2 linked regions of the Canis lupus familiaris genome follow. The protein of the gene in region 2 interacts with the protein of the main gene of each other region in a pairwise test. Links are inferred from orthologs where the notes say so. Each region holds a gene or a part of one and is shown on either strand. Other genes may lie near its edges.

Region 1 (3,562 bases), on a different chromosome or scaffold from region 2:
CAACCCCCCCACAGCCCCTACGCCCCACCCCCCCCACCCCGGACCCTGAACTCTTCACACCTGCGGCGGAAGTGGCGGGTGGGGGACCGGGAGGAGGAACGGGAGCGGGAGTCCGTGCTGGAGGAAGAGCTGTTGTCCTTCATGAAGACATTGCGGTTGCCAAACTTGGCGAAGCTGCTGCCCCGGGCTCGGCCAGCACCCCCAGCCCCTGGTGTCCCTCGCTGGGACTGGGCACCCCCGCCCCTTGTCGCTGAGCCTGCCCCCCTGGGAGGATGAAGGCTGCTAGGGGCCTCCCACCGCTTCTTCTTGGGGCTCTCAGCCACAGGCTCCCGAGTCAGCCTGAGGATATAGCAGGGCAGGGCATCACCAATCCAGCGCCTCCACCAACCCCAGCATCTGCCAGCCGCCCCAGGAACACACCACCTCAGGCAGGAAAGAAACTTACCCAGGCGACTCAGCTAACACACTGCAAAAATGGGAGGCAAACCCAAGATTTTCTCTGTCTAGAGAGTGTTCTTCGCTGCTGAGTACCATGCACTCGCCAGGCTTCAGGGCCTTCACCCCACCCCAGGATTCCACCACCAGGCAGTGCCTGGGCCTCAGCTCTACCCTCCTGGCCTTCTACCCCTGGGAGCCAACTTTCTTGCTCATTCTTGGGGCTTCAGATACCTAAGTCTGCAGGTCTCCGCTTCAGCACCCAGAATCGCCCTCCTCCCCATCCCTGGCCTAGACTAACCCTGGCAGGGGCTCCCGGCTCCAGTCAATGGTATAAGCTGAGCCGTCCTGCAGCCGAGCCTGCAGCAGCTCCTTGAGTAGCTTCTCTGTCCGGTCCTTGTCCTCCTCCGACTCACAGGCAGTAAAACAGCGCTCCACATACTCCTTCATGTCCTGTGGCCAATCATCAGGCTTCCCCGACAGGCTCCCCCTGGGTGAAGGCAGACGTGGGACTCAGCTGGGCGGCACCCCACACCCCAGCAAAGATGGTTGTCACTACCACTCACAAAGCAGACACAAACCCAAAACAATGCGAGCATCATCTTCTTCCCCTCTCATTTCATGCTCACAGCAACCCTAAAAGAGGAACCCCTCCCCATCTTGGAGGGGCAGACTGAGGCTCAGAGGGGTGCACAACCTGCCAGTGGACTATACGCACAGCAGAAGGAGAGAGCTGGGACAGGATCAAGGGGGTGGCCATCACCTGTGGTTCTGGGCTTTCTCAGGGTTGGGCTGGGGGCCGAAGCTGCTGTGCTGGCCCTCCGAGGTGGAGCTGAAGCTCTGACTGGTGACAGCAAAGGGCCGTTTCTGAATGTTGAACTTGAGACCACCAGTCCCCGGGGCTGCTGTGAGGGCCGCAAGAGCTGGGGTTAGACCTTACCGTGGCCTTCCTCAGGTTGCCTGATCTCCAGGAATGGGAGACGCCAAGCTCTAGAGAAGGGCTCCAAACCAACTGCATCCAGAGCCAGGGAATGAGCACCACACCCAGAAGTGCCCCACGCTTGGCTCTGTAAGGTGCAGCCCCTATGCCCTCTCTCTCCCCAAATTCCACCTCCAACTTACGCTTCATCCGGTTCCACAACTGTTGGCCCTTCTTGGGCTTGGCAGGCTCAGAGTAGGCATGTGGCCCATAGGCCTGGCCTGAGGCAGGCCCTGCCTGGCTGTGCTGTGTGGCTGGGGCTGTTCCAGGCTGGGGGCCACTGTTCAGAGCATGAGCCCCATGCGGGGGGTTGGAGGGCTGAGGGGGCTGGGCTGCTGGCAGCTGCTGAGGGGGGGCCTGGTAGGACATGCTTTCTTCCATGCCAGGGACTGGGGGCTGTTGGAGGAAGCAGGTGCTGAGGGCAGGAGCAGAGCTTCCAGTGCTGGCTCTCACACTGTCCTCATGATCACAGCACCACTCAGCCCTCAACTCCGTCCTGTGACCCTCCCACATCTCACTGCCCCAAGCACTGTCTCCCTGAGGAACGGAGGTTTAGTGCCCACCCTCTTCAGAGCTGAGAAGGCTCCAGCTTAGATCCTGAGATGTTCTCCCACAGTCCCCAGCCACTCAGTGGCAGCAGTAGGCATCTAAACCTCAGTTAGGCAACTAGTGAGCGCTCTAGTGAGTGCTGCCAACACACCCAGGAGTTATTGTCTGAACACATGCTGTATGCCGGTCAAAACACACATATGGTCACCCACGTTCTAGGGGACCCTGTGAAGAAGTGGTTATCCTTCCCACTTGACAGGACTGGCTGAGACGCAGAGAGGGTATGAGACTTGTAATGACACCAAGGGAGGGGAGCTGGGACTCTGGCCCAGGTCACTCCACCTCCCCTGCACAGCTCTGCACTACTCCACGCTGCACGTTAAGTGCAAGGCCAGACAATGTGCATGACTATGCATGTCTGTGTGCACTGCACTGAGAGAAGATTCCCAAGATAGGCTGCCACACTGCAAACCGCAGCTACCATCAACCCCAACACCTACTCCCAGGCCTTGCCCAAGCCCTAAACCCATCCTGGTTTCATTTTTTTAAGTTTATTTATTTATTCATGAGAGACAAGGAGAGAGGCAGAGTCACAGGCAGACTGGTGAAGAAGCAGAAGGAGAAGCAGGCTCCTGTAGGGAGCCCGATGTGGGACTCGATCCCGGGACCCCGGGACCACGACCTGAGCCGAAGTCAGACGCTCAACCACTGAGCCACCCAGGTGCCCCCATCCTGGTTTCAAAAACTATAGTTTGCCCTCCTCAGTTATCAGATCGGTAGTCACCAGGCAGGAGACTACCCAGAGGCAGCCATTGTAACAAATACAGGGGTCCCCACCATTCACCCACTCAGAAAAACTACATTCCCCATCTTGAACATGCCACAAAGCTGGTGGGGGTGTTACCTGGCTCAGAGTCCCCTGGTGCTGGGGTGCTGATGGTTGCTGGGGTGCGGTGGAGCCATACGAGCTGGCCATGCCATATTGGGAAGGGGAACCATAGCTCTGGTACATGCTCTGCCAGAGGCACAGAAATGAGGATCAGGACAGGCCCAGCTCCCTCCCCTTCTCCCGCCCTCTCAGGTGCCAGACATAACCTCTGTGCTCCACACTCTTACCCCTATCTTTCTCCACTACATAAATCCTTCTTATGAGAAAAACAACAAAAAACTCTATCAATCCCATTCTCCATTTAAGAAATATTTACCGAATGCCAACTTTCCTAAACGCTACAACAGAACCAAAAATAAACAGTAAAAATCCACCCTCTCATGAAGTCTGCGCTCAAAACACGTGCACAGTTGCAGATGGATACACAGAGTATCTGGCAGCAAGCACTGTGAAAGCAAGAAGGAGTGGGGTGCAACCCTGCTTTAACTTATCCAGTCAGAGAAAGGTCTAACCTGGGAAGCACCCCCACCACCACCACGACGGTGAGAACACGGAGAGGTGTGGGAAAAGGGAATGAGAGCTGACACAGAGCACAGGTGGACGTCATGGGTAACAGACTAAGCATGGGGAGAGGAAGTGGCCAGAGCAGAGAAGGTGGGACCTAGAAAGGGCCTTCAACTTGATCATGGGAACAACATGCTAGTGGAGTG
Region 2 (4,344 bases):
CCCTGTGCCATGTTCCACAGTCGCCACCACATCTGTGGCGTGGGAATGAGCACCACCATTAAAGTCTGAATCACAGTGCGTTGTTGTGTCTGAAGAGTCTTACTCTAGTCATATTCGGGGAGAGAAGATGGAGCGCCCACACCCGAAAGTTGGTGAACTCGGATAGCAGAGCTGGGGAGGACCCAAAAAGAGGAAGAAACTGAACAAGTATGGCTAAGACGATGGCACTGCCTCCCCTCCCTGGCCAGGTGGGGACCCTTGTTGCCCTCCTGCCTTCTCAGCATCAAGCCTGGCCCTGGGACCGGGGTGAACCAAAAGTTCTCCACCGAGATTTCCTAGAAGTGTCAAAAATGTGTGTGTGCATTTTTTAGGAAAAGGGGTGCAAACTATTCTCAGGTTCCTAGAGGGCCATGACCAAAGAGGGGATAAAGCTGTGTACTGGAAAAGCTCCCATCTAGGCCTCTCCCCAATGCAGTCTTGGTCATTCTGGGTAAGAGCACTGTGTGGGCATCACCCCCTGCAAGATGGGGACCCAGGGAGGGGAGTGGTACCTGGGGCTACAAAGGAGGGTCTGAGGAAATGGAATCTTCAGGAAACTGGAGAGTCAAAGCCACAAGTGTTGGGGTGGCCTTTGAGCAGGACCCCAGTGTGTGGCTGGAGATCCACTATCACTCTTCAGCTCCAGGGGAGCCCTGACTTTGGCACAGGGACCCAGGAACTCCCCAGGAGGAGAAACCCTCTCCTGGGGCTGGGACACGGAGCAGAACCCAGCAGGCAAGGGCTACACACAGGGAGCTGTGGCCACTAGAGGGAGGCAAGGTTCCGTGGGACGCCACACTCAGCCCGAGCTAGGGGTGTGATGGGAGGAATTTCAAGGTTGTCCCCTCTGTGGGCCTCCTAAACTGTTTCTACTCTGAGTTCTGGTCCTGGGCTCTCTGCCATCCTGCCCAGCTCCAGGACAAGGAGAGGATTTTCGTCCTGAATGGGCAGGACCCATGTCTCTGCTCTTCTTCCTGTGTCACTGACACCTCAGCCATTTTCAGTTCAGAGAGCTTCTTGCCTCTGCTCCTCTATGCCTCTTAATTTCAGGGTGGGCAACTCATCTTTCTCTTCCCTCCGGTCTCCTGGCGCCCCTTTCTGTTCCCTTTGGGGCATGCTTTTCTCTGTGCCTCTCCGTTTTCTCTGGGGTCCGTGATACCCATCTTTCTCCTCCAATTCCTGGACTGATCAAGCCGATTGTGATTGGAGCCGTATTTACTAACCTCTGCCCTTTCCCCCCACTCCTTGCTAGGTGGCCTCCTCTGGTAGCCATGCCTCCCCCCTCTCCCCCAGGTACTGGGTTGGATTGGGTTACAGTAGCTCCATCTGGGCCTCCCTGGCCCCTCTCTCCACTTTCCCTTTGTGCTGTTGCCTGGAGACCAGTGAGTTGTGGGGGGCTGAGGCCATAAAGAGAGCTGGGGTGAGGGATGGTGTGGGGTGTGTGTATGTGATGATGCACCCCAAAGCTGAATGGTAAGCCTAGTCCTCAGGCTGGGGAAGAATCAGAGAGGATAGGCCCTGGCTTCTCTGACTCTCCCTATCTTCTGTTCCTACCTTTGCCTCAAATTTTTCTTTTAGGCTCAGGTATGTCACCATCCTTAGCCCATCCCTCGGTGGTTAAAAAGCAAGAGAGAGCAGCTTGGCCTACAAGGGAGCTGGGAAGGGCCTGGGCCCAGGCCCAGTGGGAGAATGAGCTGAGATGTGAGGAAGGAGAGGAAATGCGATGGGGAATGAGGAGGAAGAGGAGGAGTCTTGGAACAAAGTTGTTGTGGGGTGGAGAGAGGGAGCAGGGGTCATCCTAGGGCGCTGAGGAAGGGAGGGCGGGAATCCCATGGAGGGGAGATAAGGAGCTGGCCAGGTCTCTGGAAGGCACTGAGGGATCAAGAAGGTGAAGCTGGGCTAGAAAAGTGAGTTGCCCACCAATTCAGCAGCGATGAAGAGTGGTGATTCATTGCTGGGCCAAGGTGGCCACCTTGCTCAGGTTCGTCAGTACTTTAGAATCTATTCAGAGCTTTTGGGTATTCCCAGAACTCAGCTGAGTCTGGCCCAAGGAAATATGAGGCAAAATCCACTGAGTTGCTACAAATCCAATCTCCATCCTTTCCAGAAGGATGGTGGGATCCTGCCATCCAGGGCCCATCCATCCTTGGCCTCTGGTTGGCTGGGCTCTGGCATTTGCCCTCTTCCCACCCCAAATCTGGAGAGCTGGTAAGAGCTCCCAATCCAGGCTCCAGCTCCAGCTCTTCCAGTTTCCCAGCCTGCTCCCTCCTATTCTCTGGCCTTCCCAATCTTAGCTGCCAAAAATCACCCAGCGTCTTGGTGTCCTTTGTCCTGGGAGATGTTGCTGCAGGGTGTGGGGCCAGGGAGACATCCCAGAAGAAGACACTGGGATGGGGTGCTGGCTTCAGGCTGAAGACTGGAAATGGCTGGCTGGCTGACAGTTAGGCTGCCTGGAGAGTGAGGAGGGTTGAAGGAAGAACCTGTGGTCTGGGGGTAGGGTGGGGATTGTCTCCACAGTAGAACAACTGGGATTGGGGAACCAGGAACCAGGACATCTAGGAGATTTGGCTCTACCTTGAGCCTAATCCCCACTGGGCCCCTTATCTGTGGCTCAGAGTACTGTCTGTGGTGACTTCAAACAGGTCTGAGAAGGAAAATTGAGACACCACCAGACAGAAGGGCCTGAAGATAGTGTCCCACTCCTATAAACGAATCCCTTCCCTACATGGGGGCTTGCCCTCCCCTGCTTCTATGGTTTCCTTCTACTGCTTTCCCTTCCCATCTCCACTCTTTGTCTTCCCAATCTCTGACCTCCCTCCATGGCCTTGTTTATCTTCCATTTCCTTCTAATCTTCTTTACCTACTTCCCCCTTGGCCCCCACCCCATTCTATCTACCTTTGTCTAGCCAACCGAAATCCTCCTCGGAAACCCCCACCCCCACCACCCCAGAAGTCCAGCCAGTGTCTTCCCCGCAGCTTTCCCACCCAGCACTCAGGCCTCCCTAGAATAAGTCTCCGGCCCCACCTCCTTCATGGCTTCTAAAAGTTCCTCACCTCTCCCCTTCTCTCCGTGCTGACCCCTCTGAACTCTCCTCAGCCTTCCAGCATCACCGCCCCCGCCCCGTTCTTGTGTTCCCTATTCTTTTCCCGACACCAATCGCGTCCAAACTACTCTCATGCAGAAACCCCATCCGTATATACAGATAGATACTAGATATAGGATATATGTATCTATATAGTATAGGATATGGGACTATAGATATAGGATATATGTAGATCTCCATCTTTTCAATTTCTCCCCCTCCCCGTGACCCTAAGCTTCAGCCCGCGTCTCCCGCTACAGGTCGGCCACAGGCGCTGTCACCCCCAGCTCCAGCCGCCCCTCCCGTCCCGCGCCTCCCCGCCCCCAAAGCCTCCGCGTACCCCGACAGGCCAATCCCAGCCGCACACCCACAGCCGCCCACGTCCTCCGTGCCTCGGCCCCCTCGGCCCCCTCGGCCCCCTCGGCCCCCAAACTTCTCCAGTCCGCGCCGCCTCCGCCGGCACAGCCCACGGCCCCTCCCCCGCCCTCCCGCTCCCCGCCGCCGGCCTCGGCGAACCCTCCCCGCGCCCCAACCCCCGCGGCCGGCCTCGGCCAAGTGGCGCGGCGCCGCCCCCTCCGGCTCCCCCGCCGCCCCCCCCTCGCGGCTTGCCTCGCGCTCCCTCCCTCGCGTCTCCCTCCCGGCCCCTCTCCTCCGTGCCTCGCGCTCCCTCCTTCTCCCTCTTCCTTCTTCTCCCATCCCCCTCTCCCGAGCGCCCTCCCTCCGCCGTCCGCTTTCCTGTGCGAGTCGCCGGACGCGCCGCCCAGCCCGCCCGCAGCCCCGCGTCGGGCCGGGGCCTCCGGCCGGGACCCGTTCGGGGGGCACCGCCGGCCGCGAGGAGGGGGCGAGGAGGGGGCGAGGCGGGGGCACGGCCGCCCGGGAAGGGGCGGGGGCCGCGGGCGGAGGCCGCCCGGGGGGCCGGGGAGCGCGCGAGTGCGGGCTGCGCGGGGCGGGCGGCGGCGGGCGGCGGGCGGCGGGCGGAGCGGCGCGGAGGGGGAGGGCCGGCCGGGGCCGCGGGGAGGGCGGCGGGGGCGGGCGGCGCGGCCCGGGCATTCCGGGCGGCGGGGGCGGGCGGGGGGAGCGGGGGAGCGGGCGGGCGGCGGGCCCGGGGAGGGGCTGAGCCAGAGCGGGGTCGGGTCTGCTCCGGGGGCAGGCGGGCGATCGGGGCCCGGTGGGGGAAGGGGGATGGGGGCCGCCCTCCGGGGGGGTCGGGGCCGCCGCCGCC

Evidence for each region.
Region 1: the proteins of ATN1 (region 2) and LENG8 interact in a two-hybrid assay, tested with the Homo sapiens proteins (2 studies listed by BioGRID and IntAct). The link is inferred for Canis lupus familiaris from reciprocal best matches to the Homo sapiens genes ATN1 and LENG8.

What each region holds. Positions count from the first base shown.
Region 1 is NC_049222.1:103,607,532-103,611,093, forward strand, and holds part of LENG8 (leukocyte receptor cluster member 8), read right to left. Parts: intron 2,979-3,562; coding exon 2,868-2,978; intron 1,811-2,867; coding exon 1,558-1,810; intron 1,341-1,557; coding exon 1,199-1,340; intron 926-1,198; coding exon 737-925; intron 467-736; coding exon 446-466; intron 340-445; coding exon 61-339; intron 1-60.
Region 2 is NC_049248.1:7,975,028-7,979,371, forward strand, and holds the start of ATN1 (atrophin-1), read left to right. Parts: upstream 1-1,518; 5' UTR 1,519-1,623; intron 1,624-1,972; exon of another isoform or gene 1,973-2,020; intron 2,021-4,312; exon of another isoform or gene 4,313-4,344. Other genes in the region: ENO2 (gamma-enolase), read left to right, coding at 1-49. UniProt on the Homo sapiens protein: Transcriptional corepressor. Recruits NR2E1 to repress transcription. Promotes vascular smooth cell (VSMC) migration and orientation. Corepressor of MTG8 transcriptional repression.